Xenopus tropicalis: one gene and its partners. The main gene of each other region encodes a partner of the protein of the gene in region 7 in a complex. Links are inferred from orthologs where the notes say so. Each region holds a gene or a part of one and is shown on either strand. Other genes may lie near its edges. The genes, in order: tmem17, tmem237, b9d2, mks1, cc2d2a, tmem231 and ahi1.

Region 1 (3,991 bases), on a different chromosome or scaffold from region 7:
CCAAAAAGAAATGAATGAGATGGAGAAATATAATTGATAAAAAATGTCTGTTCTATTATCATAATACTGTATGTCCATTATTTTCTTTTGATTCTTTTATTTCTAATTATATATCAAAGAACCAGTGAAGATACATTTTTTTAACCAGGGAAAACCTATAACATTTTTAATCTGTTCTGGACGTTATGGACTCTTTATATTTTATAATGTGACTTTACCTTCTCTGTTCTCTTTTCCTATTTAACAAATAGCACAGAGCACCTCTGATGATCCTGAATATAAATGGGTAAAGCTCTTTTGTTTTAATTGACACTACAAAACACTTATGCCTGTAATAATACAAGCAATCCGCTTAGTGATCCCCCTCTGCTAACTGTTTGGAAAATGCAGCAAGAAGTCAAATTTGAATCTGAATCAATTTGCCCCCATAGCTTGTGTGTATGGCTACAGGGCTACTAGATATCTTCATATTAGAAGAACATAATAAAACACTTTACCTTGAGTTCCATGGTAATGATCTCTGATATAATCCAGAAAGGAAAAAAGAAAGCATTGAAATATAACATCATCTGTAGTGGAAGGCTTGACAGTAGGTCATGGCCTAAAACAAAGGAAAATATACAGATATTTTATTTTCAGCCCATTGACCATTTGCAAACATTTTTGCCTTGTTAAGACTGAAGCTTTGAGAGCAGAACTTTGCAGCATCAAATCAATATCAAGTAACAACATTTGTGCTTTAAATGTCCTTTTTTCTGTTATTGTGCAGTATTTCATAAGAATACATTTTAGTACATTTATTTGTATAAATACCATTTGTATATGCTGAAATCCAGCTGCAAAATAGTTCTTCAGGTGCTGCATCATTTGAAATACTGTCAGGGAAGGAAGTACTAAAACATTGATGTTACAAATTGTAACAACTCCTCTACAACTTATAGGCAGCATGCAGGAACTATATAACCCACAATGCATTGTACTGTAAACAGGGGCAGCAGAAGCGCAAAAATCAGCTCCTGGTAACTTTAAGAGCCGAATTTCCGGTTTTTAAACCGGAAATTCGGCTCTTCTAGTGCAGAGAGCGCAATTGCGCTCTCTGCACTAGCGATCTCACTGCCCCCGGACCCGCTCCTGCGCTCAGAAGGTAAGCGCTGGGGAGCGGGGGGGGGGCGGCATCCAGGAGCCACCTCAGGCGGCGATATGTCCAGAATCGCCCCTGACTGTGATGTTCCTTTCTTTATTGACATTATGTGCAGTGGATTCTGGGACTTGGAGGATGCAGGTTGAAGGCAGGCTGAGGACAGTCGACTACTGTTACATTTTATTTGAGTTGTCAAAGTAGACAGCCAGATCAGCAGGACAACAGGGAACAGGCTTAGGTAACTGTTCCAAAGGCTTAGGTAACTGTTCCATATGTTTTTAATTGCTATATATTGCAACATTGCTTAAAATTATGTTTACATTTCAAAAAGCTTAGGGTGAAGTCCCCTTTAATCTTGCAGACTGCAGTTGTGAATAGCTTCGGAAAACTGCCCTCTCCTTCCCAGCTTATTGGGATAAAGCAGATTGGCTTTTCACAGATGGAGACCTAAATGTGCCTGTCTCCATAGAATGCCAGAGATGATAATAGCTTCAGAAGCTGGGTGTAAAAGAAACAAACTTTGATGTGCCTATTAATAATATAAACATTAAAAAATAGGACAATTACCTGTATTGTATTAAATTTTGTATAAAGAATTGTCCTTTGTCAAGTACAATCTATTCATTAGGAAGAACAAATTAACAAGTATTTATAAAGCACCAACCTATACTTCAGCACTGCAATATATGGGTGTGTACATCAAACCTACATGTTACATACAGATACAAACAAATCATAATAATGACTCTGCTTGGAGTCATTGCATGGATTTAAACTTACAACTGTAACTGTAAAAAGATGGCTACTTCTGGGCTATGCTTTGAGCCTTACTTCAGATTGCAAAATCTGGCAGCACAAAACATATCACTTATTCCTGAGTTACAAGGCACAATACCTGACTGATATGCATGTTGTTCTCCACAGTCTCTGGTCTTATTTTGAATGAAGAGAGATCCACTAATTCTGGCAAGTCCATGCCGTACGCTGCCAGGCAGTGGAGTAAGAAGAGCCATCACCACTGCTTAGCAGATGCTAACTCTGTCTTTCTATAGAGATCAGACAGGATTACTGTCATCCTTGCATGTTGATTAAAATGTTTCAATGGGATTTGCAACAGGCTGCTTTACTAAAGGATTATTTTAATCAGAACCTGAAGAGAGCTAATTTGGTACAATCCTGCTGTGCAGTATTTTTTCCAATGTATATTAAACTTTCCTATCCTCCACTGGTTTGTAATCTAACTTTTTGCACCATATTGCTTGTCTAGAGAAAATAGTCACAATTTACAATATAAACTCAAGCTTTCTCCTACTGTAATATTATTATGTTCATTGTTGAATGTTTAACCAATTTTTCCAAATTGTGGCATCAAAATTGGCCACCACTAACCCCATTATTGCCAGTGGAATCACATCTCAATTGAATATTTTAGAATATTGTTTTTTTGCTGGAGAAAATGCCCGAGTATTACCTAGACCTACAGTTTAGAAGATTATATATCAAAAAATAGTGTCAGTGAATATGCAACCTGGGTTCTGGATGTTGCTGTGTTCAGAAGAATGATGGGTTGTGTAATTGGGTTGTCAGTCCACAAATAAAATTCCATGTTCCTTCTTTGGTAAAGATCTTTAAAAGATCATAATTCTTACTCAATATGGAGTGTGTTTGGAAAAGAACAGCTCCTGCCTATGGAAGCAACTACTGATTAGGCATTTGGGGACAAAGGATTTTCTGATTCCATGCCTGCAAGGAAATAATAAGAAGCACCCGTTGAACTAACTACAAATGTAACCCTCAACCCTCTTATACTGTACATTTGTTTTGAGTTTACTGGTCATCCACAAGGTTGCCCCTTGTAAGCTATTCCTCAAACAAATAAGCTGGCCTCAAGAAAATTAGGAGAGAGTTGCGACTGCAATGACCAACTGGCCTATGGGAAGCATGGTTGGACTGGATTTTCTGAGCAGTCAGGCACTCATCTTCTAGAATCAGAGGATGGCCTATTGTAACTTGCAAGCCAAAAGCAGCTTAAATGCTGTGCAAGCATGCTGTATATTCACAACATTTGTATACGCTACAATGTACAACATTGTTTTATAATAATAACATCAAATCCAAAAAAGAAGATATTGCAGCAATATTAAAACAGACCAGTGTTGTCCAAATAAAATTATAATGTTTTTACTGCACAAACCTTAGGGTTATGCAATTGGGATAATATTTGTAAAAACCTAAATAGATACACCATGGGGACTTGTTGTGCAACAAAGGTGTATGTGGTACAACATTACTATACATTGACTTTGTAGTTAGTGTACTTTTATACTGACTTGTGGTTACATAAAGTAATGGAGGAAACATGAGCCTTTCAGTGGGCTCCATTGCTTACAAATACGACATCATGAGATGACACAACAGATTTGACACATTTGTTTACTTTCTTTTGGTGGAGGGCTTCACCTATGTGCAGTCCTAACTAAAATCATTGCATTTTTAAATAGATGTAGTATATTGATCACTTTTTTCTCTTTTTTAATTCATACCTTCCCTTTATATTGAAAGACACAAGCATAGATAGGTACAAGATGCAAACATATTTGTGTCTGTTTCCTCCATGAATGGACTCCTGATAAAAACTGATTATGGTGTCGGTGAATGAAAGCATTATATCCTGTTCTGGCATTTCTTATAAAAGGTTGAAAAGAGGCCAGAATGTTGCAGAACATATTTACACACACATTTGACATGTGCATTTGGCTAACTTTTTACTACAGCACAGAATGTGGAGGTACATAGGGTTACTACCTTTTCTGAAACAAAACTGACCTTCCTATATTGTTAGCATTTTTT
Region 2 (4,196 bases), on a different chromosome or scaffold from region 7:
TCATTTCAACAATTCTGCAAAAAGCTAACAGAATTTTCCAGAATTTCAGGAGAAGTTTAACATATGTGATAAAAATCTAGCTGCTATGAAAACACCAGGGAATTTTTAGGATCGCCTAATTAGTTGGTTGGTTTCTTCCAACTAATTATCCAAGATTTTTTCAGACATGTTGTCACCACGTGGATAACCAAATGTCCCATGTGCCATCAGCCTTAAACTCTGCAAAGCCAAGGAAGCAGCCCTACTGACCACCCTCCTAGAAGTTTTTTTTTAAAATCTGTCACTCTCTCAGTGAGTTCAATGAGCAAATACAGGTATAGGACACGTTATCCAGAAATCAGTTATCCAAAAAGCTCCAAATAGCAGGAAGGTCATCTCCCAAAGAGTCCATTATAATCAAATAATTAATTTTTTTAAAAATGAATTTCTTTTTCTCTTTAATAATATAACAGTACCTTGTACTTGATCATAACCGAGTTGCATGAATCCACATTGGTGCCAGAACAATTCTATTGGGTTTATTTAATATTTAAATTGTTAGCAGATGTTAGATGTTATGGCAGGGAAGTCATGCAAGAAATGCAATTTTCAGAAAACACTAAAAACGTTAAAAAATAAAACCAGAAATATTTTGGAAAAAGTAATTCTTTGATGTACTTTGTGAAAAACAATGGGAAATGTAATAAAACACTCAAAGTTTGCTACTAGTTTAATCAACCAATCAGCATTTACAGGTCATCCTGGCAAACTTTGTCCCTTTTATTATATATTTGGCCAATAAGATTTGTTAGAGTGAATTTTTAGATGGGGCCAAACTGAAAGAGATGAAAAATTCCCTCTGGGTAAAAAAGGCCTGTGTGACCCTAAGTGGTAGTTCACCTTTAAGTTAACTTTTAGGGGCTGATTTACTAACCCACGAATCCGACCCGAATTGGAAAAGTTCCGACTTGAAAACGAACATTTTGCGACTTTTTCGTATGTTTTGCGATTTTTTCGGCGTCTTTACGAATTTTTCGTTACCAATACGATTTTTGCGTAAAAACGCGAGTTTTTCGTAGCCTTTACGAAAGTTGCGTAAAATCTTGCGATTTTTCCGTAGCGTTAAAACTTGTGCAAAAAGTTGCGCTTTTTTTGTAGCGTTAAAACTTACGCGAAACTTCGCACCTTTTAAGTTTTACCGCTACGAAAAAGGCGCAACTTTTCGCGTAAGTTTTAACGCTACGGAAAAAGCGCAAGATTTTACGCAACTTTCGTAAAGGCTACGAAAAACTCGCGTTTTTACGCAAAAATCGTATTGGTAACGAAAAATTCGTAAAGACGCCGAAAAAATCGCAAAAAATACGAAAAAATCGCAAAATACCGATCTTTACGAAAAAAACGCAATCGGACTCATTTCGACCCGTTCGTGGGTTAGTAAATGTGCCCCTTAGTATTTTACAGAACATACTATTCTTGGCAACTTTGCATTTGGTCTTCATTATTATTATTATTTTACTTATTTGCCTTCCTCTTTTACATCTTTCCAGCTGTCAAATAGGGGTCACTGATCCCTGCAGCCAAAAATAAATTGGCCTTTACATCTCTTACATCTTTTTTATTGTGGTTACTTTTTATTCCATATCTTTCTGTTCAGGCCCCCCTTCTAATTAGTATATGCTAATTAGGATTCGGCAGAATCCGTCAGGGTGGGTTTGGGGGAACCCAAAAAAGTGGGTTCGGCGCATCCCTAACTTATATTCAAGGGGGTGGGGGGGACGCACCAGGGCAGGGGGCCTGGTGCGTTTGCTACTCTGCGCTGGGCCCTTTGAAGTTTCTTTTTTTTACAGGGTGGCCCAGTGCAGTGTAGTTATGCCACTGATTCATATTCAAGGCTCTCATTCAAACCCCTGTCTGGTTGCTAAGGTAAATAAAACCCTAGCAACCACATAGCTGCTGAAATTCCAAGATGGAGAGCTGCTGTACAAATAAAAATGAAAACCAACTGCCACAATTACCAATCTTACAATATCAATGTCTACATTAAACAGAGAGTTAAAGTTAAATAACATCAATAAATAACTGAATATGAACTTTACTGCTTTAATAAAAATCAGTATTCTTATATTGAACTTTATAGTACATTTCTATTTATAAATTAGATGGTAACAATGAACTGGTACAATCACATAAAAATCACTAACTTAATATCAAATTCACATGAAATTATGAAGGCTTGCATCCATCAGATAGTAAGAATGTTCTATAAGGTTCTCATCTGCCAAATAACATTCCTTTCCTAAAGCATTAAGGTACTTACCACTTGCTTCTTCCCCATCATCAAAAGTCAGTGCACATACAGGCAGATACTAGGCAGTTCCTTTACACAACACATAGATCCTCTTATTCCTTACACAAAAATAATCTGTAGATAAACTCTGGGATTACAAAGGTTAGAACCTTCTGCCCTTCAGCTACAGGTCAGTGCTTTTATACGCCCACGTGAATTAATCCCTAAACCCTTTATTTTCCTACATGTAGGCACATTTCCCTACCGAACCATACCATTTTAACTGCATATATATCCCCCCCACCTTTGCCAAAGCAAACATATTTTCATATTTAAAACAAAGAGCAGCTTTCAGCTGGCGGCCATTTTCACCAACCTCATCATCAGTGATGCTTACATGTGCAGAGTCCCTCATTCCCTGAAAAGTTTATGCAAACAAGAATGTAGTGTTACACAGGCAGAACTTACTTTTACGCTGTCCATTTTAGGACATATATGTGCTTAATGGATAAGCTCCATGCTCCCTGAGGTCGGGCAAAAGAATGTTTCTGGAGCAGGGAAGGCTACCGAAGAGTTTCCATGGAAACACAGAATGCTATCTCTTTATTGGCTGCCAGACTGGAAGGGGCGCGTTTAAAAAGCCAAGTAGCTCTGATTCACTGCCTTTCACTGAGCTCTAGCTTTGAAGTGCGCATGCGTTTGTAGCACTAAGGGAGGGGCCGAGTGGCTTGGGGTGAGGAAGTGAGGGCGTGCGGCAGCCTTATTATTAAATATTTGTTTCTGTAAAGCTGTATGTTTGCGTAATTGCTATCACAGTTCTTTCCTTAGCAGCTAGGGTTGGGGTAATGGTGCAAGTTGATATTTGTCTCCAATGGTTCAATCTGCACAACCACGGGCGACAAATCTCCCAGAATTGGCTTGCCATAGTATCGGGATCGGACTGATGGACCGCCCAAAGAGAGGGGAAATTGCCTCTATTTGCATAAACTTAATGGCTGCAAGTAATATGTTAAGGCAAGTCATTTTGGGGAGATTTGTCATGTACAGTAGCACAGGCTGGCCTTATGCTTTTATATGGGTCATGGAACTCTGGCCTGGGAATTTCCAATACACAGAGGCCCAAACAACCCCCACCAGCCCACAAAAATAGTGACCATCTTACACAAAGCTATCAATCCTCCCATTTGTTCTGGAGTAACCAGATTGTGGTGGCTCTCTCCTGGTCTCCTATTCGCCTTGTCCCCCCAGCCATCCCCCAATATTCTCCTGATTCTGCCCAAATATACCGAAGTCCGGTGGCGAATACTGGGCGTGCATGTACAGTAATTGTTTGGTGACATCATTTGATGCATGTGTGCAGGTAGAATTTTTTGGCTTCGCCGGGGATTTTGTGCATGTGTGTGATGTCACTTCCAGAAGTCTGTCGCACATGTGACGTTATTTCCACGTTTTGGGAACAAAAAATTGCAGCCCCCCACGGACTGCACCCGTCAAAAGTTGACAGCTCTGCTTATAGCAGCCCCTCTGGCATTTTCAGAATCTACAGGTTGCCAGTGTGAATCTAATATTCTCATATTTTACAACAAGGGGGGAGGTACATTATTCCTTATATCACCAGCATATTACACATTTACTGGAATTACAGGTACATTTAAAATAATGGACCAGTCTTGGCAGTTTTTTTTTTTTTGTACAGCACAACTGAATATACTAACGTTTTATAAACACTAGTTAATAATGATACTTAATGGCTGGTAAGGCCTTAGCTTAAGACTGCAGTGCTTTTTTTGGCACCAGTTAGAAGAACTAATGAGCTGGAAATAATACAGAGAGGTGCAACTAAATTGGTAAAAGCAATGGAACAATTGAATAATTGGAAACAACCAAAGGCCTCCTTTTAGACTTGAGAAACTGAAATTCACCTACAGTA
Region 3 (4,181 bases), on a different chromosome or scaffold from region 7:
ACTGATTTAAGATAATCGTCAAAAGAGCCTGAAAAGTATTTAAAAACAAAAACATTCAATTTACTTTATATATAAATGTATTCTGGTAAGTGATTGATGTGAATGAGGTATTATGAAAATGAAAGGAGAGAAAGGGAGTGTGCTTTATAACAGGGCTGAAAACAAAGCAAGGATAGTAAAAAAGTGATACAATGAGGAAAATGGCTAATATCAGAAGTAACAGACAATTTGGGAAAGTGTAAGAGATGTTAGTAGAAGGGGAGGAGGATAAATGTTACCAGATTATGGTACAGAAGAGATATGAAGTATCAGGTTTATTAAGAAGGGTTGAGAAAAGGGGCTCATTAAATACTGAGCAGGATTCTGTTTGAGGTGTTCACAAGTAATTCCATAAAATGTCTTGCTGATTATTTCAGTGCATATGTCCTTGGCACCAAAAATAATCATTTGGAAAACCAGGAACAAGTTCTTAGCACTCTGCAAAATCAAGAACACTCCACCCCGTATCGTTCAAAGTTCCTGAGTATGACCGTTAATTGGAGATGTACTTGCCCCATGGCCACTGTTTGCAGACGGTAGCGATCAGACCCTCCATAAATCAGGCTGGATGACTTAAGTTGTGGGCCGCCGCCAACAAACATCTGACATATTTGCTCCTGCCATGTTCCCAGGGGTCGCCAGGTTGGGCTAAGCAATGAGTGAGTACCAGGGGTGGAAGGGATGTGGAGGAAGCTGTAACCATAAAGTTCATTACGACCAAATGTGTCCTGATGCCAGACTTGAAGGTGAAGTTTTGGCCAACCTAAGTGGGGGAAATACAAGCATTTAAAGTACATAATGTACTTTGCACCTTTGGTAGGTAAAGTGTGTTCATTTGAATGGGTAGGGTTAGGGTTGGGAGCCTGTGCAGGGGCTCCAATGTGATTACAATAATTTTAACAGATTCTTTATTTTATTCTTTATTCTATCATACTTTACCTTGTAATCCTTTAGTAGCAAAGTGCATGTCAATAGGGTGAGACCAGAATGCCATGTCATCATTTTGTGGATGATCTACTTGTGTCTGGCCTTCCACAACCCCAGAAAGTAGCTTCCAGGCTCCACCTAAATGTTATGGTAGGGAACGATGTTATTACAAATAGAAATATCATATGGTTAATAATAGATAGAGCCACACCAGTATCTTATATATCAAGATTTTCTCAAAACATTAACATTTCCTTTAAGACTCTTTTATATTGTTTATGTAAAGTAAAGCCAAAAATGGGCTTTAAGTTATACAAACACAGCCTTCTCCTTCACTTCACATTACTAGAATAAATACAGGGGTCACCTGACGCATATATTTCTTCTTCACATCACAAACTTAAAAATATATTACAGGTATAGGACCCATTATTCAGAATGCTCGGGACCAAGGGTAATTTGGATCTCCATAGCTTAAATCTACTAAAGAATCAATAAAACATTAATTAAACCCTATGGGATTGTTTTGCATCCAATAAGGATTATTTATATCTTAGTTGGGATCAATTACAAGGTATTGTTTTATTACTACAGCGAAAAAGGAAATCTGTTTTAAAATTCTGAATTATTTGATTAAAATGGAGTCTATGGGAGACGGGCATTCCATAATTCAGAACTTTCTGGATAACGGGTTTCCGTATAAGGAATCCCATACCTGTACTAGAATAAAAGTGGGGCCAACTGAATGCATATACCACATTTTCAACAGCGTACAGCTCCACAAAAAAACAAAACTGTGTTTTTTTTATGTACAATTGATATATAGATCCATTTAAAATGCAAAATGATGACTCTTACCTGTGTGTACTCCCCATTTGCAAAACAGGCTGTGTTGGGGGAAGCCACTAGCCCCAATAATTTGCCCTATGATGTGAACCTCTGCCATTACTGTAGGAGGAAAGGTAAAATATATTTCAGTTACATCATTATTGTGAAGAAACTAAATTATAATTTTTATTAGAAGTAGGTCCAACAAACAATAACAGCTAGAAATTACACTTCTTATACCATCTGACGCCAATATAAATATACAAGCCTCAGTGACCAAGTTTTCCTTTTTTTCTTGGCTGTGTGTGCAAAAACTTTCTTTTGTGCCTACTTCCTAAACCTATTTGAGCACTTTTATAAAAACTATGCGCAAGTCTAAAAAAATTCTAAATTATGCCTTTACATACAAAATTCTTTTTGCGCACCACAATTTATTACAGTAAAACTTTATTTTTCATCCCTTACTTAGGTTTTTTTATTTTGTGGTCCCTCCAAAATATAATGATTAATACATTTCAAGGATATGACATCCCCCATTATTTTCTAGTGGCCTCAATAATGTAAAAGGGCGGTTCTAATGCATGTGCCCTGACATCGTAATTTAAATATCCACAAATGCATAGCTTAGAAGGAACATTAGTATTACATATACATTTTATTTATTACCTACTTTTAGCGCAGTGTTATTACTACGTATATTATTAGTATATGTAGCTAACCCCCAGCAATAAGCCCTGTAAGACGTGGCATGTCATAACCAAACTGTTCATTACACATCCAATAAAACCAATTTGAAAGCATAATTTTATTTGTCATTACCGCATAGTGTATTACATATGTAACTAACCAGGTCAATGACCAACATCAAGCAAAAAAAACCTACTTATACCTGCACAAGTTGGGCTGTAATGTAATTCATGAGTGTGGCTATTCATGTACAGTGAATTTCATAACTACATAGAACACTGACAGTGAAGGCACTATAGAATCAACAAATAGAATCCCTAAACTGAGGGCCCTACAGCTTACACTTACAGAATCAGCCAAGAGCCTCTGTTTGTCAACTATCAGCTGCTGGAAAACGTAATACCCCCATTACACTCCCTACACTGGCGCCATTGTGTGTGCTATGAGCATATAAATTACTGACGATACATATTTGGATGATGGTGCAAAATCATCAGGACTCCATACCGACAACCTGCGAATCATATCTACCTTTGCGTATATAACACCGCAGTAGGGTAAGATGTAAGCGCTTTACCAGTTTATTAGCTCTAAATATTTTTCGCCCTCTTTTACATCCCGCTATAAATGCTTCCCCTAACCGCACAACTGCAACATAAATCTCACCGGACCCCCTCTGAAAACCGGCTCCTTGTCTTAGCTTTTTGCCCCTTCTAATTCTCACTTTGGTAGACTCCGCCTGTTGCTGTGCAACCGTTGCATACAGCAGATCTGATTGGTTCACCGGCGGAAGTGACGTCTGTTGTAGGCGAAATGTGTAAACTGATCGAGACTGATAGTCTGTGGGAGACGAAGTATTGGGATTAAACGATAGCTATTAATACTGCAATCTGTGATTTATAATACAACATAGTGTAATGGAACGTTGCTTAAACAGATATAGGGCGTCGTGTCGTGTCGGGTTCTGAGGCATTACGTATACAAGAGACATATTAGCGTCCATTTAAAGTTCAGCAAGTTAGTGGCTGAGGGGGGTGTAATGAGAATTAGCATGGCCATGCTGAAAATGCGTTTGTCTGCTCCCACTTTGTAGTCACACCCCCAAATGTAAAGCCTTTAAACCAAAAAGAACCCAGCTTTTAAAATGCTGGAAACTTTGAATGGCAGCGTCAGACGAAACGCATTCACTTTTATGACAGACATAGTGGCCAAAATATTTAATTACATTTTAAAAGAAGTAGGGAGATACTTGGATACATGAACGCAGAAGAATTTATTTAGGATATCCCTATCTGAAAAGGTGTCGTTGATCCAATTCATGCAAGAAATACATTAGTATTTTTGTTATAAAAGATTGCTAAAGCTGCTTTACTGCAAGACAAGCTGGTAATGAGCCAATTTTTGCGGAACATATGCTGTTATTTTAGTGTCTTTAAAAGATCCTGTCTGTTGCTTCACAAGATAACTGTTTGCCCCATTTTACCCCTTTCTCATTGAGTGATTTATTCTGCATGCTCAGTATGCATTTCTTATCAGATCTCTCCATTTGTCTCTGCCCATTTCCTTGTAAAAGAGCATTCTTTTGAGAGAGTGCACTGTTACTGACAGGTACAGATAGAGACCAAAAGAAAGATAGGGTACTTGAATACATTGCAGTTCACAATACTATTAGTTTGTGCCAGCATGGTTTTATGCGTAAC
Region 4 (3,500 bases), on a different chromosome or scaffold from region 7:
CTGCACTTATTTGCAGGCTGACAATCCGACCCATGTGCCCTTGCCCATAACAAGATATTCAAGCACAACTTAAATAAAAGTGGACCCAATACAGAACCTTGCTGCACCCCACTAAAAACACTACACCAGGTTGAGAATGCATCACTGACCACCCTATGTTCACAATCCTTCTTCTAATTTTCTATCCATATGCCAACAGCATAAATAAGAAAGAAGTAACAACCAATTAGCAATTTGAATTTAGCAAATATGAAAGTTTGACGCCTATAATTGCCAAGTAGTAAATTACTTTAGACCCATGAAAGCCAGCGCTTTCTAAATAAAAAGAAAAAAAACAGTATAATAAAAACTTACCATTTCAAAGTCAGAGCCCACCAAACTGTTCAAATATTCTTTATGTCGGCTGTATAACTAAAATATTGCCATAAAGATATCAATTAGCAAATTTCTATACACACACTGGGAAAGCAACTTAATTTATTTACAGAATGGTTAAAAGCATTATGGGGTGCATTTCCAAAATAACACAGAGCACTTGATTAATTCTTCTGGCACAAGGTAGAGAATATTTTAGGGGACAGAAATCCCTAGGACAATTACAGCTCAGTGCTAGCTGAAAGGACTATAAACTGTTTTTGAAAGGGTCAAGCATTTTGTAGTGCCTCAAAAGTTTAACATATTTGCATTAACCTTGGCATGCAACATCACTCTGTGACTCTGATGTACTGACTGGTGGATAGGAAATTTATTTTAAAATCCCTGCTCATTTTTATGTTATCCTGACAAATGGGGGGCTGTACAACTCAGATACCAAACACGCATTTTTTGGTCACTATCTGTGACTTTGAATAAATCGATCATTTGATTAATTTATAATCAACAACCTAGTGTCTGAGATCTGGCCAACCATGTCTGAGGCTGATTTACTAACATAGGTGCTAAACTGCATCTGCACAGTAACAACCAATTAGCAATTAGAATTTAGCACCTATGTTAGTTAATTAGTCCCTGTCTATATTTGCAGGAGTGGGTGACTATTCGGTGATCTAAATCTGATATACCTGCCGAACTTATTTACAAACAAGTTTTATACCTGAAACCAAAAGGCTCAAGCAATCATAAATCTGCCCCTTGAAGTTAATTTTAAGTTGAAATATCCCTTCATGAATTTACCAAAATGATTTTGAAAGAAGAAACTCGAGACCCTTTTCCCACACGGATACTCTCGATATTAACTTAAATCTTGCTGAAAAGCACCGAGTTTAAATATTTTTGATATTCCAATTTCCCTAGCACTAGCATGGTTTTGCTTACATCCTTGTAGATATGTTGTTCCCTTTCCTGCTCTTCCTTCTGAACAGATTCAGACACGTGCTGCAAAGTATATCTCCACAGCTGCCGCTTTTCTCCTTCCACCTCGAGCCTATTTCAGGGGAAGGGAACAGTATTTGAAAGTAATGAGAAGTTGGCTTTGCTGCAATAGAATTTATTGTGGTTTTATACTATTCCCATGGCTGTATTTACCTGTAAGGTCCCTTTGTGCCAGTAACATCAGGTTTCAGCGTGATCACACCATTTGCATCCACACGAACAGTACATAGGACATGTTCATGTTCCCTCAATCCAAGGCTGGAATATATACATAGATACAGCAGTAAAATAACTGTGGTGACCATCACTGAAAATTATTTGCATGATGGGAAAAACTAAACAGAACTGAATAACCAGTTGCAGCTTCCCATACCATCTAGCCCTCCAGATACAGAGGTAGATTTATACAGGTGCCCTTAAGATTATTTAATCAAAAGATAGTCATTTAGCTGCAAAATTTTCTCAGAATTTGCATTAATAAGCCCACTGAAATAGCTTACTTACAATTAAGAAACTAAATATTTACTAGGGTATATGCAACTTTGCCTGTGCAAAGGAAACATGCTTCATAGAATGTAAATCATAGCAGAAAATGTAAATCTGTGTACAGAAAATTAATTCATTTACATTGCATTTAGTAAGGTTGGTAAGGCTCACTCACTTTCCACCTGGTCCTAGGTCTGCCATTATGTACATTGTCTGTACTGGAGTGTTAATAATGTGATTACTTCTGATAAAATCATCTGAAGGCTTCCAGGTAATAAAACGATGCCACATCCCAACTCCATCACTGGCAGAAAACAATACATTTCATCAGAAATATCTCCAAAGCAATGGAGTGTATAGTACTAAACACAGAATAATATGAGCACTGACACTTACATCTGCCTTTTGTCTTGCCGTCTTCTTCTTACATTTGCCATTCGTTCTACCAAGAAAGTGGGTGTTTCATCTAGAGAAGTTGTCACTGATTGGCTGTGCTATAGAAAGAATGAAACTTTTAATTGTTCTGTAGAAGTATCTTTATACTTTTATAGATATGGTGGCGTAATCAAAACAATTTCAAGGAACATAAGAGGATGAAAAAAAAATTATGGGGAGGGGAATAAGAGAAAGGCTGTTCAATATTTAGTAATCCAGCTGTTGCAAATATCTAACATCCATCATGTGTGGCTGGTAAAAAATTCTGAAAGATGCAGTGTTCTTACTTAGTATATAACCCTAGGCAGATTTTAGGTTGATTTTTAGTGATGAAGTAAATAATCTACTCAAACATATGTTCCTCAATTCAGTTAACTTAGTTCATATACTTTATATGTGAAATCCAGTTAACGGCCATCTTACTAACTATGCTAGCACCCAAATAGCGGACTGCCTGAAGCTTACATGAGAAACCATGAGATTATTTTTTTAATTGAAATGTAAAGTATCTGTAAAGTAGAGTGGCACAAAAAATCCAAACGAAACAGGTCAAAGTAAAACTGGAGCAAAAGGGGGCCACATTACAAATGTTTTGTTAAATGTTTGGTCATTTTAAGTGGCAGGGTTTCGTTAATTCCTGTGCCAACTTTTGTGACCAGCATATACTGCTATGTGAAAAACTGAGCTTAGCATATGCATCTAGAAGCTGCATTCTTAGTTTTAGGGATGCACCGAACCCACTTTTTTGGGTTTGGCCGAACCTACGAACACACAAACCTGCACAGCAGGATTCTGTGGATTTTGTGGATTTAACCCTTTCCGGATTCTAATTAGCATATGCAATTTGGTACGACCGGGACCGCATATCCAGCCGAAACCAAATCCTTAAAAAACAGCCAGGATTCGGCTGAATCCCGAACTGAATCCGCGATACGGTGCATCCCTACATAGTTTACACAAGATATAGATCGGTGGGAAAAGTGTTCCTTTAAATATTCCTTTAGCTTAGCATATTATTTTTTTTTTTACAATATTTAAGAAAAGCCGAAACAGTTTTAAATAATAAAGCAAAAACAAGGGATGACTAATTAATTTTCAGAGCATGTTTTCACAATCATAAGTATTATTATAGAACAATGTACCTCTTCTAGGTTTGTATAGCGATCATGGTCCGTATAGGTGAAGATGCGTCTGTTTTTACGCCCCCC
Region 5 (3,500 bases), on a different chromosome or scaffold from region 7:
TACTAGTCTGATGCCTTGAATTCTTTTTATGTTTTGCCTGAGTAGTATGGGAGATATAAAAGTCCTGCCTGAGAACGCTGAAGTGGCAGAAAACAACCCAACTCTATCAAAAGGCATCAAAAATTAAATGTAATTTTTAAAAATTAAATTGACATCAAAAATCTAAATTTAATTAAATTAAGGAATCCCCTTAATGCTGTGAAAGGACACTAAGGGGCAGATTTATCAATGGGTGAAATTAGAGCTCACTACAGAAACACTCACTTACTCTCTGTTCATTTCTGGGGGATTTTAGAAGCACGGATACTACTATACCACTATCGTTGACCATTATGCCACTTCCGCTGGGTAAAATGTACAAAAGAATTTTAAGAAGACCTTTTGGGTTGCTCCCAATTTTGTTTTATTGACATCAAAATTCTAAACAGATATTCATACCTGGGACTTTTTCTGTACAGTCTTTACAGCCTCTCGAAATCTGACCCTTGATGTCAACTCAGTCTCAGCTTCTCTAACCCTGTCCAGTTGAAAGGAATCCTGGAGTAATAAAAAAAAAAAAAAAATTAATAAATAATAAAACTAAGAAGTTAAACAAAGAAAAAAAATTAAAATAATATGCAATAAAAAACATTCTCAAAGGCCTGCAAAAATAAAAATTAATACAAAAGAATATTACTTTGCTATTTCTAAAGATATACAAGATCTACAAAACATAAATGATACAATTGCCATTGTAAAAATACTTCACTGCGCTGGTTCAGCTTTTCAGTATTTATACCATTAGATGTTTCTAGGTTATAAACAGAGAGTATATTGTCAAAAACTGCTATGCTTGAGTTATAGTTAGGGTAACGAGATCACTTGAAAATTCAGGGACACGTCTAGAAAATCCAGCTAGCAGGGCTAAAATGATTCCATCTTAATTCAAATGCAATCAGTTCTACCCTGCAACATTTATTTATTTAGACATGTCCCTGGATTTACAAGTTAACTGGTCACCCTAGTTTTAGTACAAAACCTGCTACCCAGTCAAATGAGTATAATCTCTAACTTTTTACCGCAGATGGGTAAGACACTTAAGGTGGCCATACACTGTAAGATCCACTCATTTGGCAAGGTCAATAAGCGAGCTGAGCTTCTCCCTAGGGCCAAACAATCAAATTAAACAGCAGGCACACGCAACATCAGTTCGGAGACCGCATCAACGAGCCGATGCGGTCCCCTATCCGACAGAAAAAGAAAAAACAATCTTGATCGAGATCTGCTCGATTTTTGGCCGGATTTCAGTCGGGAAGGCCCGTCCTTGGTGCCCATACACAGGCAGATAAGCTGCCGAATCGGTATAAAAGACTGATATAGGCAGCTGAAATTGGCCTGTGTACGGCCACCGTTACAGGAACGGGGCCCCTGACCAGGGTACTTTTCTGACTCAGTGCTGCCATTGCTAGTCACTTGTGGCTGTCCTGAACTGTTCACACACTCAGAATCATGCCATCAAAAATTGCGACATGCACAGGGTAATAAAATAAAAAAATTGTACTATACTGCGCATGCACACAGTCCATGGCAAACTAAAGGGATTGCTGGGAAATGACTGAAGATAGCAGCACAATGCACAGCAGGGAAAAACCCTGAGCAAGCTTTTTTTTCACAAAAAAAGGGAGCGTCAATCTGTGTTAAAAATAAAGTGACTGTATTGGCTGGAGGTGTCTAACTTGTCCTTTAAACCTTATTAAAAGTTAAAGAATATTAGCCATTGTAGTTCAGAAATATCTGTGGACCCAAGGTTAAGAAACAGGACTCTAATACAATCATATAAGCAAGGCAAATGAAAATGCACTCACCTCTTCATTAAACCTTCTGAATGAATCTGCATGTTTAGACTTAGGTAATCTTTGGGGCGAAACAACTGGGGACTCATCCTGTAGAGTACTTTCTGCCTTAGACTTGCCATAGAAAAGAAAGGATCAGAGATTATGGTATATCCTTTATAGCCTCAAGCAAGAAGTTTCTCTAGCACACGATTAAGATGCAAAAATATAATTCAAGTGTTTGACAAAAAGGTATTTTGCTCAAGGAGTGTACCAAACATGGAAAAAGCATTCCTTGCATATTCTGCTGTCAGCTAAGATTCCATCCTTCATGGGCACCATCACTAAGACAAATGAAATAGGGCCACTGAATTTGACTCATGGAAATGTTAAATGCCGCATATATATGTAATTTCATTTTTGCTTCATTTCCAGAATAATTCCACTTCTTGCCGTGCCTAAGCAATTGTCTCTCTGGGTGGAAAGTCCACAATCTTCCTTATCACTTCCCATAGATCCGCTAATATTGTAAAATCCAATTAAAATAGAACAGAAAGGGGTGTGACTGAGCAAAGCAGGGGTATATAAATGCACTAATGCATGACTTGCAAAATCACACTCACCATAGCAGGGATAATTCCCTAAGCTTTGTTACAGGCTTTCAGAGATACCATATATATTATCAGTACATGTATTGCCTAGTACAGGGATCCCCAATGTTTTATACCTGTGGTCACATTCAAATGTAAAAAGAGTTGGGGAGAAACATAAGCATGAAAAATGTTCCTGGTGTCACATATTGGCTATTTGGAAGCCCCTATGTCAGTGATCCCCAACCAGTGGCTCGTGAGCAACATGTTGCTCACCAACCACTTGGATGTTACTTTCAGTGGCCTGAAATCAGCTACTTATTTTTAAATTCCTGGTTTGGAGGCAAGTTTTGGCTGCATAAAAACATAGTGTGCTGCCAAATAGAGCCTCCACATAGGGGCTGCCAAATAGCCAATTATAGCTCTTACTTGGCACCTCAGGAACTTTTTTCATGCTTGTGTTGCTCCCCAACACTTTTTTCATTTAAATGTTGCTCACAGGTATAAAAGGTTGGGGATGCCTGCCCTATATGGACTGGCAGCAGTGGCCCTTTAGAAAGAACACTGGGCAAGCTTATAGTCATAATAAGGCACAGAACCTGTGATCTGAAGTAGCACCTGCACTTCAGTAGACTGCCGCTCAGTTTGCAATCGCTTGGGCAAAAAAAGGTCAGCTTCTATTTCATTTTAACTAGAAACTAAGAAATCACTGGCAAAGAACTTTCCTACAGGACCTTAAATGAATCCACAAGATTTAAATCAGTTTTGCAAGGAGTGTTCAGACTAATTCTCTAAAGCAATACAAGAAAAACATTTTTTAGATACATACCCTTGCAGCTTTCAGTCTTTCTCTGAGCCGCTCTCTCATGGAAGCTTCAGCAGCACTGGGCACTGGTGTGGAAGCCGCTAAAGGTGGAAGGCCTGAAAACATTTATATTAAAAAAGGCATCAAATTCAAGTCACCGACTTTTCTATTTTTTTTAAAGCAAAATATTGTATATGTGTATTTCCTAAGGATTCTTGTGTTTTGGCTCTGTTTAGATTTATGTAGGGAAGATGCTCCCCTATATCTGGGGATCAATAAAAAACAGATTTAAAA
Region 6 (2,737 bases), on a different chromosome or scaffold from region 7:
GATAAAGCTTACTTAGTTTTTATCTTTCCTTCTCCTTTAAAGGGGACCTGTCATCGTAAGAAATAATTCCAAATTATTTTCTATCAGATTAGTCAAGCATAATAAACTTTACTTACACAATATAATTATTGTAATTAATTATTTAATTATTTAAATCCTGTTTCCTTCAGTCTTTACACAGTCTTTACACAACTACAGCAAGCAGCCAGGTGCTATTTTAGTAAGGAAAGCTTCGCTTCAACAACAAAATCTTGTTTATGTGCCAGAATGGGGGACCTGATGCCCATGCCCATGCACTGGCTACACAGTTAGATGGTGAGGAGGGAGGGGGAAAGTGATGAGGGTGGCAGTGACATCTACGAAGTGCTGAATGGAAAGTGAAAGTAATTGTCTGCCCCACCTCTATGCCTAATACAATATATGATTTACAGCTGGAATTTTTAAATGCCTTTATAATGGGTTTGGATGTGTTAATAAAAAAAGGAATTTGGATTTTATGTTTCATTTTAACAGGACTTTTATTATACAGCTTTTTATGTTTGGGTGACAGGTCCCCTTTAATAAAAATGAAATATTCAGTTAATAATAACTGAAATATTTGGGAAGACTGAGATATTTTGCAAAACAATTTCTAGCTTCCACAAAAAAATGACTAGGAGCGAAGAAATTTAAGATGGAGTGGTACCAGTAGTATACGGCAATCCAATGTACTGCCAGTGCCACTGGATTTTTAAACCAACACTCTCTTCAGAAAGAAGGAAATATTACCAAAGGAAGTACATTTAGGTTCATTTTTCCAAGAAGATATTATTAAAACATAGCATTAAATGTATGGGCTGTTGAGGCAAGCTTTCACCTCTTGCTTAATTACAACCCTTAGAATTCGCTTAGTGTTATTTGCATGTTTTGTGGGAGTTGAAGTTTATCAGTAACACGTCTGAAATTCCTGCTGTAATAATTCCAACATAGCAAATAGGTTTCCTCTCATGTTCCTGAAAATCCACTTCTTTATCACAGTAAAGAAAGAGAAGTTATTAGAAGTCTTAAGGCCTCAAAAGGCATACCCAAGATCCAGTTTATCATATGGGGTTGGTTATCAGCTCTGATGACTTTTATACAATGATGGTATTGGGCCTGGTACTGTAGTCAAAACTTGATTTTGAAAAACAAATATTTTAATTCTCTCAAATACCCAAAGGAAAATGAGAAGGATACTGACATACTGAATCCATGCATATTTTAGCATTTCCCAGAATCCAGGCACATATGTGGATAATGTTAAGGAATCTTCAAAAGGGACATGTGGCACTAATATTGAAAACAGTAAACAAAATCCCAGGAAATAGAAATCAGAAATAGCCCAAGCACCGGATATAAAAGTAATAGTTTTCTTAATACTTGTAGGCATATGAAATACTCTAGAAGCTGTGCATATGCACAAAGAATTATACTTTTCAAACTTGTACAAGAGTTAAAGGATATGATATTGATTCCACGGGATACCGGATAACAGCTTTTATTACAAATGGATCAGAAGCAGCTCTCCCAACAATCCACAGGGGGTTTGGGGCATTCAGAACTGTGGTCACTGCAACCAGATAACATTAAAAAGTTAACAAACACAAAAAGATGCCTAATACTTTAAGGTAAATAATAACAACTATAATAATGCATAAAATATAAAAATATCTCACAAATCTCTCACAAAACAAACAAATCTGTTGCCAAAAATGATGTTGCCGAAATTTATGTCTATTCTGTATACATACACACAAACACTACAAATATAATGAATATATATATATATATTTTTTTTTATTATTATAACGTTTAATTATGTTTCACATTTGACATACAGCCCCTTTTCTACCCTTTTGTGTTCAAAGCCTCAGGGTTACAACTGTCCTTGTCCACCATACTCTAAGCACTGACCATTTAGCATTGGCTCCCATAATACAGAGCAGTTTAAGATTTCCCGTTAGGCTTGCAAACTCTTCCATTTAAACCAGCACACATATTTATTATCTTACAGTGAATGGTTCGTCAGCAGCTAAGAACAGTTAATGTGCCATTCAGCATGGTAGGGGTCATTTACAACTGCTAGTACAGCAGCAATGCCGCTAATTTCCTTGCAGTAAGTTGCATGAGAAAATTGGGTAAGAAGGTACTTGCTTAGAAAGGTACTTTTTGCACTTCCATATGTTGCTTGGCACTGCTCAATTCTTCCTGCCCAAATCAATTGGCACAGACAGTTATGCCAAAATAGGTGGCACATGTCACTCACACATGCCAAACATTATGGAATATAAATTGTGTGTGGGTGATGTGTTCAACAGTGTTTATGTTCATCTAAAATCTGATCAGTATATACCCTAGTGCTTTTAATGTCCAGTGGATTGGGCAACTTCATAAAAATGTATAGCTATAGATTTTAATATATTTCACATACATTCATTCTCCCAAAAGGCCACACATATACAGTAGTGCATTGTCCATCAAGGAGCAAATAAACTACTAGACAGGGCAAGAGGGATACGTGCTCTAAGCTACTAGTATTAAACATATGAAATCTATTATTTTTAATGCTTAACTTCTGAGATTATCTAGATAAAAGGTCTTTTAATAAAATTAAGCACCATGCTTTAAGAAAGGAATGAGAGAGACATTTATGCTAGCTTATTTAACATCAATTACTAGCAACTGTCATAATTTTAGAGAGAAAAAGTAAATACGTTAC
Region 7 (4,212 bases):
TCAGCTTAAAATACAATATTAGTGTAGGCCACAAGTTTACTTCATGAAATGTGAGTATAATAAGTAGAAAAATGACAGAAAGAATCAAGTCCTGGGAAAAAAAAACACTGAAGGCGTCCTAAAGTATGTGGTATCACTGAAGGTTGTGATAGATGTTTCTTCTTTCAGTCCTCAGTTTATCAATAGTCTCAAATATCTATTTTCTGCAAGTCCCATATCTTAAATAAAGGCTATCACACTATCTCTGTGGACAGCGATAAAATACACTTTCTGTCACAGGGGCCAACAAGCAGATCATACATTAAAGGAGAAGGAAACGTAAAAACTAAGTAAGCTTTATCAGAAAGGTCTATGTAAATACACCCATAAGCACTCACAGAAACGCGAGTCCTCTATCAAAAGAAACACAGGATTTCTTGTCTCCTTTTTTGTAAACATGTTCTTCAGGTATCGGACTTCCTCTCTTAAGCAAACTGAGAAATCTTCAAGGGCTCTTTACTCAGGTATGGTAATGCTTTCTGCGGAATCTATTGGCAGTAAAATGCCAAAATGACTTTCACTCTCCTTTAAACCTAGGGAGGCTTTTTGAAGGAGGATTGCATCAACTTGCTGATGCATGCAGGATATTCAAACCTCTCTGACAGATACTGGGCTAATTTTTGGTCACAGCAGGCCCTTTCATAGTAACATAGTAACATAGTAACACAGTAAGTTGGGTTGAAAAAAGACATATGTCCATCAAGTTCAACCATAATGCCTATATATAACCTGCCTAACTACTAGTTGATCCAGAGGAAGGCAAAAAACCCCATCTGAAGCCTCTCTAATTTGCCGCAGAGGGGAAAAAATTCCTTCCTGACTCCAAGATGGCAATCGGACCAGTCGACACACAAGCTGCAGAATGAGTCCAGAGGGGCAACGTTGGCACCTTTAATAGCCCCCATATAACAGCCCTAATGCGCTGAGTGGCAGCCATCATAGCACCACAGCTTGTTTAGAAAAACATTACATTTGAAACTAAAAACACAGAATTTCCCACCACTGGGTAAGAGAACTCAGCACTGTAGTTAGATTTATATTTTTTGTGCATACTTCTAGTGCATTTGATATAAGGTTAATTCACCAGAGAAGGAAAATTAGAGTTACAGTACCACCAGACCTCCACCTGTTGTGGACTACTAAATTCAGATACAAGCTGATGCCTACTGTAACAATGCGCACAGTAACATCCCGATGCGGGACAGTCCCTATTTCAACAGCTCAGACCGGATTCTTACTGAAAAGTCCCTCATTTCACTTTCATCTCCTGCACTGAATGCTAAAAAAGATACAATGTTTCTGAAACTTAATTAAACAAGCAGCTTTTGGCAGAGAGCCCAGAAAAGTTAACAAGCAACACGAGCACTTAGATACAATTGTAACTAATAAGCTAAACAGTAGTGATGTGCAGGTCTACTATTTGTCAACCCACACCCGACCCTAACCCGTCCCTTCTCCACCGGCACCTGACCTGGCCTGCAGCTTCATGTCTATTTACAGATTTTCAGAATGTAAGCTCTTGCGAGCAGGGCCCTCCCCCTAGTGTCTCCGATCCTCATCCAATGTAACTGCAAACCATTTTTGTGTATTGTTTATATATACATGTTAACTGTTATGTCTTTTGTACCACTCTATTCTGTAAAGCAATGCGTAAATTGATGGTGCTATATAAATACTAATAATAGACCTGATCCCACCCCACCAATGACATTACTGAGGGAGTGGGCATGGCACGCGCCTATAAATAGACGCTGCCAGATCCGGTATTGGGGCTCCGTTAGGCTGCAGGCGGGGAGGAAAGCAGAAGGGCTTGACCCAACCAAAACCTGCTTTTGATGTTGCACTGCCAGCCCGAATCAGTGGGTAAACCCGCACATCACTACTAAATAGGTCTCTTGGGGGGAACTGAGACATACAGCTTAAAGGGCAATTTCACATTTTTAAGCAAAACTGTAATAACAAATAAAACATGACCCCCAAACCCCCCAAAAATTGTTCAAATTTTAAATAACCTGCCAAATATGGTAAAAATGGGAGTGGTATTTAGGGGGTGTGGTCACAAAAACGGGCGTGGTCAAAAAATTGCAATATGCACTGCATTTCTTTTTGTCCCTCTTTAGATTTTTCAAATACTGGGAGGTGTGCTTGGAGTCATTTCGCTATAGGATTACAGATGTCACCACCAGTGTTCCAGGGAACCGGTTTATGGTAAAACATTATCAGTCACTTGATCCTTCCTGGATTCAATCCCCCAGCCACCAATCACTATTATCATGGTACTCTGCAAAGATAAACAGTCTTCAATCTGCAGCCTCAGATCATAACACAGTATGACCAAAAAGCTAACAGAACAAAATAAAAAACAATTTAATCAAAATCAGGATAGTAGTGCACATGTTAGCAGTAGGCAAATTTGCACAATCACAGTCATTAATAACTAATTAGCTATTGTCATAGTGCGCCGCAGCGTCTACGGCAGGTCAAATAATACAATTAATACATATTACAAATGGGTACAGCTGTATTTTTTTTAATAACTTTAGAAAAACAAAATCATACTGTAGAAATGTTCTCATTTACCACATCTGCACGTCAAGGTATTGCATTCCGCCCAATAGTCCCGCTTTTTCTCAACGCAGCCCGCAGCCTCGGGTCGCAGCTTAAATGTCCCGCAACACTGTTTACGTCCTGCTCCTTGACTACCTCAGAACAGCTAATCCCCAATTCTCATCTCGCGAGAATGCGGCGTCACAACTACACGTACTAGGGACGCACCATTCAGTGGTTTTAGGGACAGTAGAGCGACGCGCGTTGGTGTGAGGGTTGGCGCAGCAGGGCGCTTGTCTGCTCGCATATTACTTTCGCTGTGCTGTCAGGGAGCTCCTACTTTTGTCAGGGATTCAAAAATAAATACTTTTTATTGCACAATTTAGGGTAAGAAAAAATGAATTTAGGAGAAAATGGGTGAAAATAGCCATAGTAATCAATAATTAAGCTCTTTTACCATTGTGGCGTCAGAGAGTCCCAGAAATATTTCACAATTTTAGGACAACTAGGGCTGATTTAGGAATAGGTAATTAAACTGGGATTTTGGCATTTTGTCCCTTGTTTAAGAGGGCATTGCTTTTCACAGTTTAGGGGGAAAAAAAAGTTATACTTTGTTGAGATCCCCATCACCATGAAAGCTTCATTTGTATGGAAATTTAATGAACTCTTATTATTACAGAAACAAACTAGAACGGAAATATCTGTTTCTATATCAGATACAATTTCGTTTAATAACCTCACTAAAACAGACCCCTCCACACTATGACCCCTAACACTGAAGGTAGTAACAGGTAACCTAAAAGCACTCAGCACAAAAATGAAAAAACAGAATAACGCTAATATACAAATACTAATGCAAGAAATTCACAATTTAGAGAGCAAACACAAGACAACACTGGCCAACAAAATACAAACCGAGTTAGAAACTGAAAGAATTCAGCTAAACACCTACTAGACTAGTTCACCGAAAAAGCATATTTAAAATGTAAAAGAGAATACTACGGCAAATATTATATATAAAAAATTGGCAAATAAACCATCTAAAATCCTATCCAGACTAATAAAAACGCAGAAAAACAAAACTTTTATCACACAAATTAAAGATTCAAAGCAAAAACTTAATCATACCTACCCAGATATAGCAAAATGTTTTAAGGAATTTTACCAGACCCTATACAATCTAAACCCAGGGACCCACAACCAAAACAAAACGCTAAAAAAAGAGCAATACCTAAAAAAGTTAGACCTCCCCAAAATCAAACCATATACAATCACAACTAGAAGCACCATTCTCAATAGAAGAAATAACAAAAGTAATTAATTATCTACCATCCAACAAGAGCCCGGGACTAGATGGTTATAGCGCAGGTTTCTATAAAGAATTCAACAACAAATAATCCCCATATTATTAAAACATTTTAACTCAATATCAGACAAGAACGCAAATTACTGTTTTGCATAAACCTAACAAAGACCCAGCAGTATGCTGCAGTTATAGGCCCATTTCACTTCAATCTGGACCAAAAACCATATGCCAAAATGATCGCCAGCAGGCTACAAATCATCACCGCTTTACTAATCCACCCTGAACAAACAGGGTTTGTGAAAGGCAGAGAGGTCAAAGAT

The links.
Region 1: ahi1 (region 7) and tmem17 share a complex: the UniProt entries of both Homo sapiens proteins name them as parts of the tectonic-like complex. The link is inferred for Xenopus tropicalis from reciprocal best matches to the Homo sapiens genes AHI1 and TMEM17.
Region 2: ahi1 (region 7) and tmem237 share a complex: the UniProt entries of both Homo sapiens proteins name them as parts of the tectonic-like complex. The link is inferred for Xenopus tropicalis from reciprocal best matches to the Homo sapiens genes AHI1 and TMEM237.
Region 3: ahi1 (region 7) and b9d2 share a complex: the UniProt entries of both Homo sapiens proteins name them as parts of the tectonic-like complex. The link is inferred for Xenopus tropicalis from reciprocal best matches to the Homo sapiens genes AHI1 and B9D2.
Region 4: ahi1 (region 7) and mks1 share a complex: the UniProt entries of both Homo sapiens proteins name them as parts of the tectonic-like complex. The link is inferred for Xenopus tropicalis from reciprocal best matches to the Homo sapiens genes AHI1 and MKS1.
Region 5: ahi1 (region 7) and cc2d2a share a complex: the UniProt entries of both Homo sapiens proteins name them as parts of the tectonic-like complex. The link is inferred for Xenopus tropicalis from reciprocal best matches to the Homo sapiens genes AHI1 and CC2D2A.
Region 6: ahi1 (region 7) and tmem231 share a complex: the UniProt entries of both Homo sapiens proteins name them as parts of the tectonic-like complex. The link is inferred for Xenopus tropicalis from reciprocal best matches to the Homo sapiens genes AHI1 and TMEM231.

What each region holds. Positions count from the first base shown.
Region 1 is NC_030677.2:166,773,736-166,777,726, reverse strand, and holds the start of tmem17 (transmembrane protein 17B), read right to left. Parts: upstream 2,801-3,991; 5' UTR 2,155-2,800; coding exon 2,037-2,154; intron 602-2,036; coding exon 498-601; intron 1-497. UniProt on the Homo sapiens protein: Transmembrane component of the tectonic-like complex, a complex localized at the transition zone of primary cilia and acting as a barrier that prevents diffusion of transmembrane proteins between the cilia and plasma membranes.
Region 2 is NC_030685.2:53,781,323-53,785,518, reverse strand, and holds the start of tmem237 (transmembrane protein 237), read right to left. Parts: upstream 2,801-4,196; 5' UTR 2,750-2,800; coding exon 2,735-2,749; intron 2,725-2,734; exon of another isoform or gene 2,682-2,724; coding exon of another isoform or gene 2,643-2,681; intron 2,608-2,642; exon of another isoform or gene 2,318-2,607; coding exon of another isoform or gene 2,297-2,317; intron 1-2,296. UniProt on the Homo sapiens protein: Component of the transition zone in primary cilia. Required for ciliogenesis.
Region 3 is NC_030684.2:79,325,656-79,329,836, forward strand, and holds the start of b9d2 (B9 domain-containing protein 2), read right to left. Parts: upstream 2,801-4,181; 5' UTR 2,730-2,800; coding exon 2,684-2,729; intron 1,915-2,683; coding exon 1,825-1,914; intron 1,105-1,824; coding exon 979-1,104; intron 803-978; coding exon 486-802; 3' UTR 1-485. UniProt on the Homo sapiens protein: Component of the tectonic-like complex, a complex localized at the transition zone of primary cilia and acting as a barrier that prevents diffusion of transmembrane proteins between the cilia and plasma membranes.
Region 4 is NC_030678.2:41,738,856-41,742,355, reverse strand, and holds part of mks1 (Meckel syndrome type 1 protein), read right to left. Parts: coding exon 3,435-3,500; intron 2,352-3,434; coding exon 2,254-2,351; intron 2,162-2,253; coding exon 2,033-2,161; intron 1,630-2,032; coding exon 1,525-1,629; intron 1,424-1,524; coding exon 1,315-1,423; intron 412-1,314; coding exon 355-411; intron 1-354. UniProt on the Homo sapiens protein: Component of the tectonic-like complex, a complex localized at the transition zone of primary cilia and acting as a barrier that prevents diffusion of transmembrane proteins between the cilia and plasma membranes.
Region 5 is NC_030677.2:27,864,383-27,867,882, reverse strand, and holds part of cc2d2a (coiled-coil and C2 domain-containing protein 2A), read right to left. Parts: intron 3,323-3,500; coding exon 3,231-3,322; intron 1,947-3,230; coding exon 1,845-1,946; intron 538-1,844; coding exon 439-537; intron 1-438. UniProt on the Homo sapiens protein: Component of the tectonic-like complex, a complex localized at the transition zone of primary cilia and acting as a barrier that prevents diffusion of transmembrane proteins between the cilia and plasma membranes.
Region 6 is NC_030680.2:64,234,200-64,236,936, forward strand, and holds the end of tmem231 (transmembrane protein 231), read right to left. Parts: intron 1,589-2,737; coding exon 1,483-1,588; intron 1,269-1,482; coding exon 1,097-1,268; 3' UTR 501-1,096; downstream 1-500. UniProt on the Homo sapiens protein: Transmembrane component of the tectonic-like complex, a complex localized at the transition zone of primary cilia and acting as a barrier that prevents diffusion of transmembrane proteins between the cilia and plasma membranes.
Region 7 is NC_030681.2:71,850,707-71,854,918, forward strand, and holds the start of ahi1 (jouberin), read right to left. Parts: upstream 2,801-4,212; 5' UTR 2,620-2,800; exon of another isoform or gene 2,599-2,619; intron 1-2,598. UniProt on the Homo sapiens protein: Involved in vesicle trafficking and required for ciliogenesis, formation of primary non-motile cilium, and recruitment of RAB8A to the basal body of primary cilium.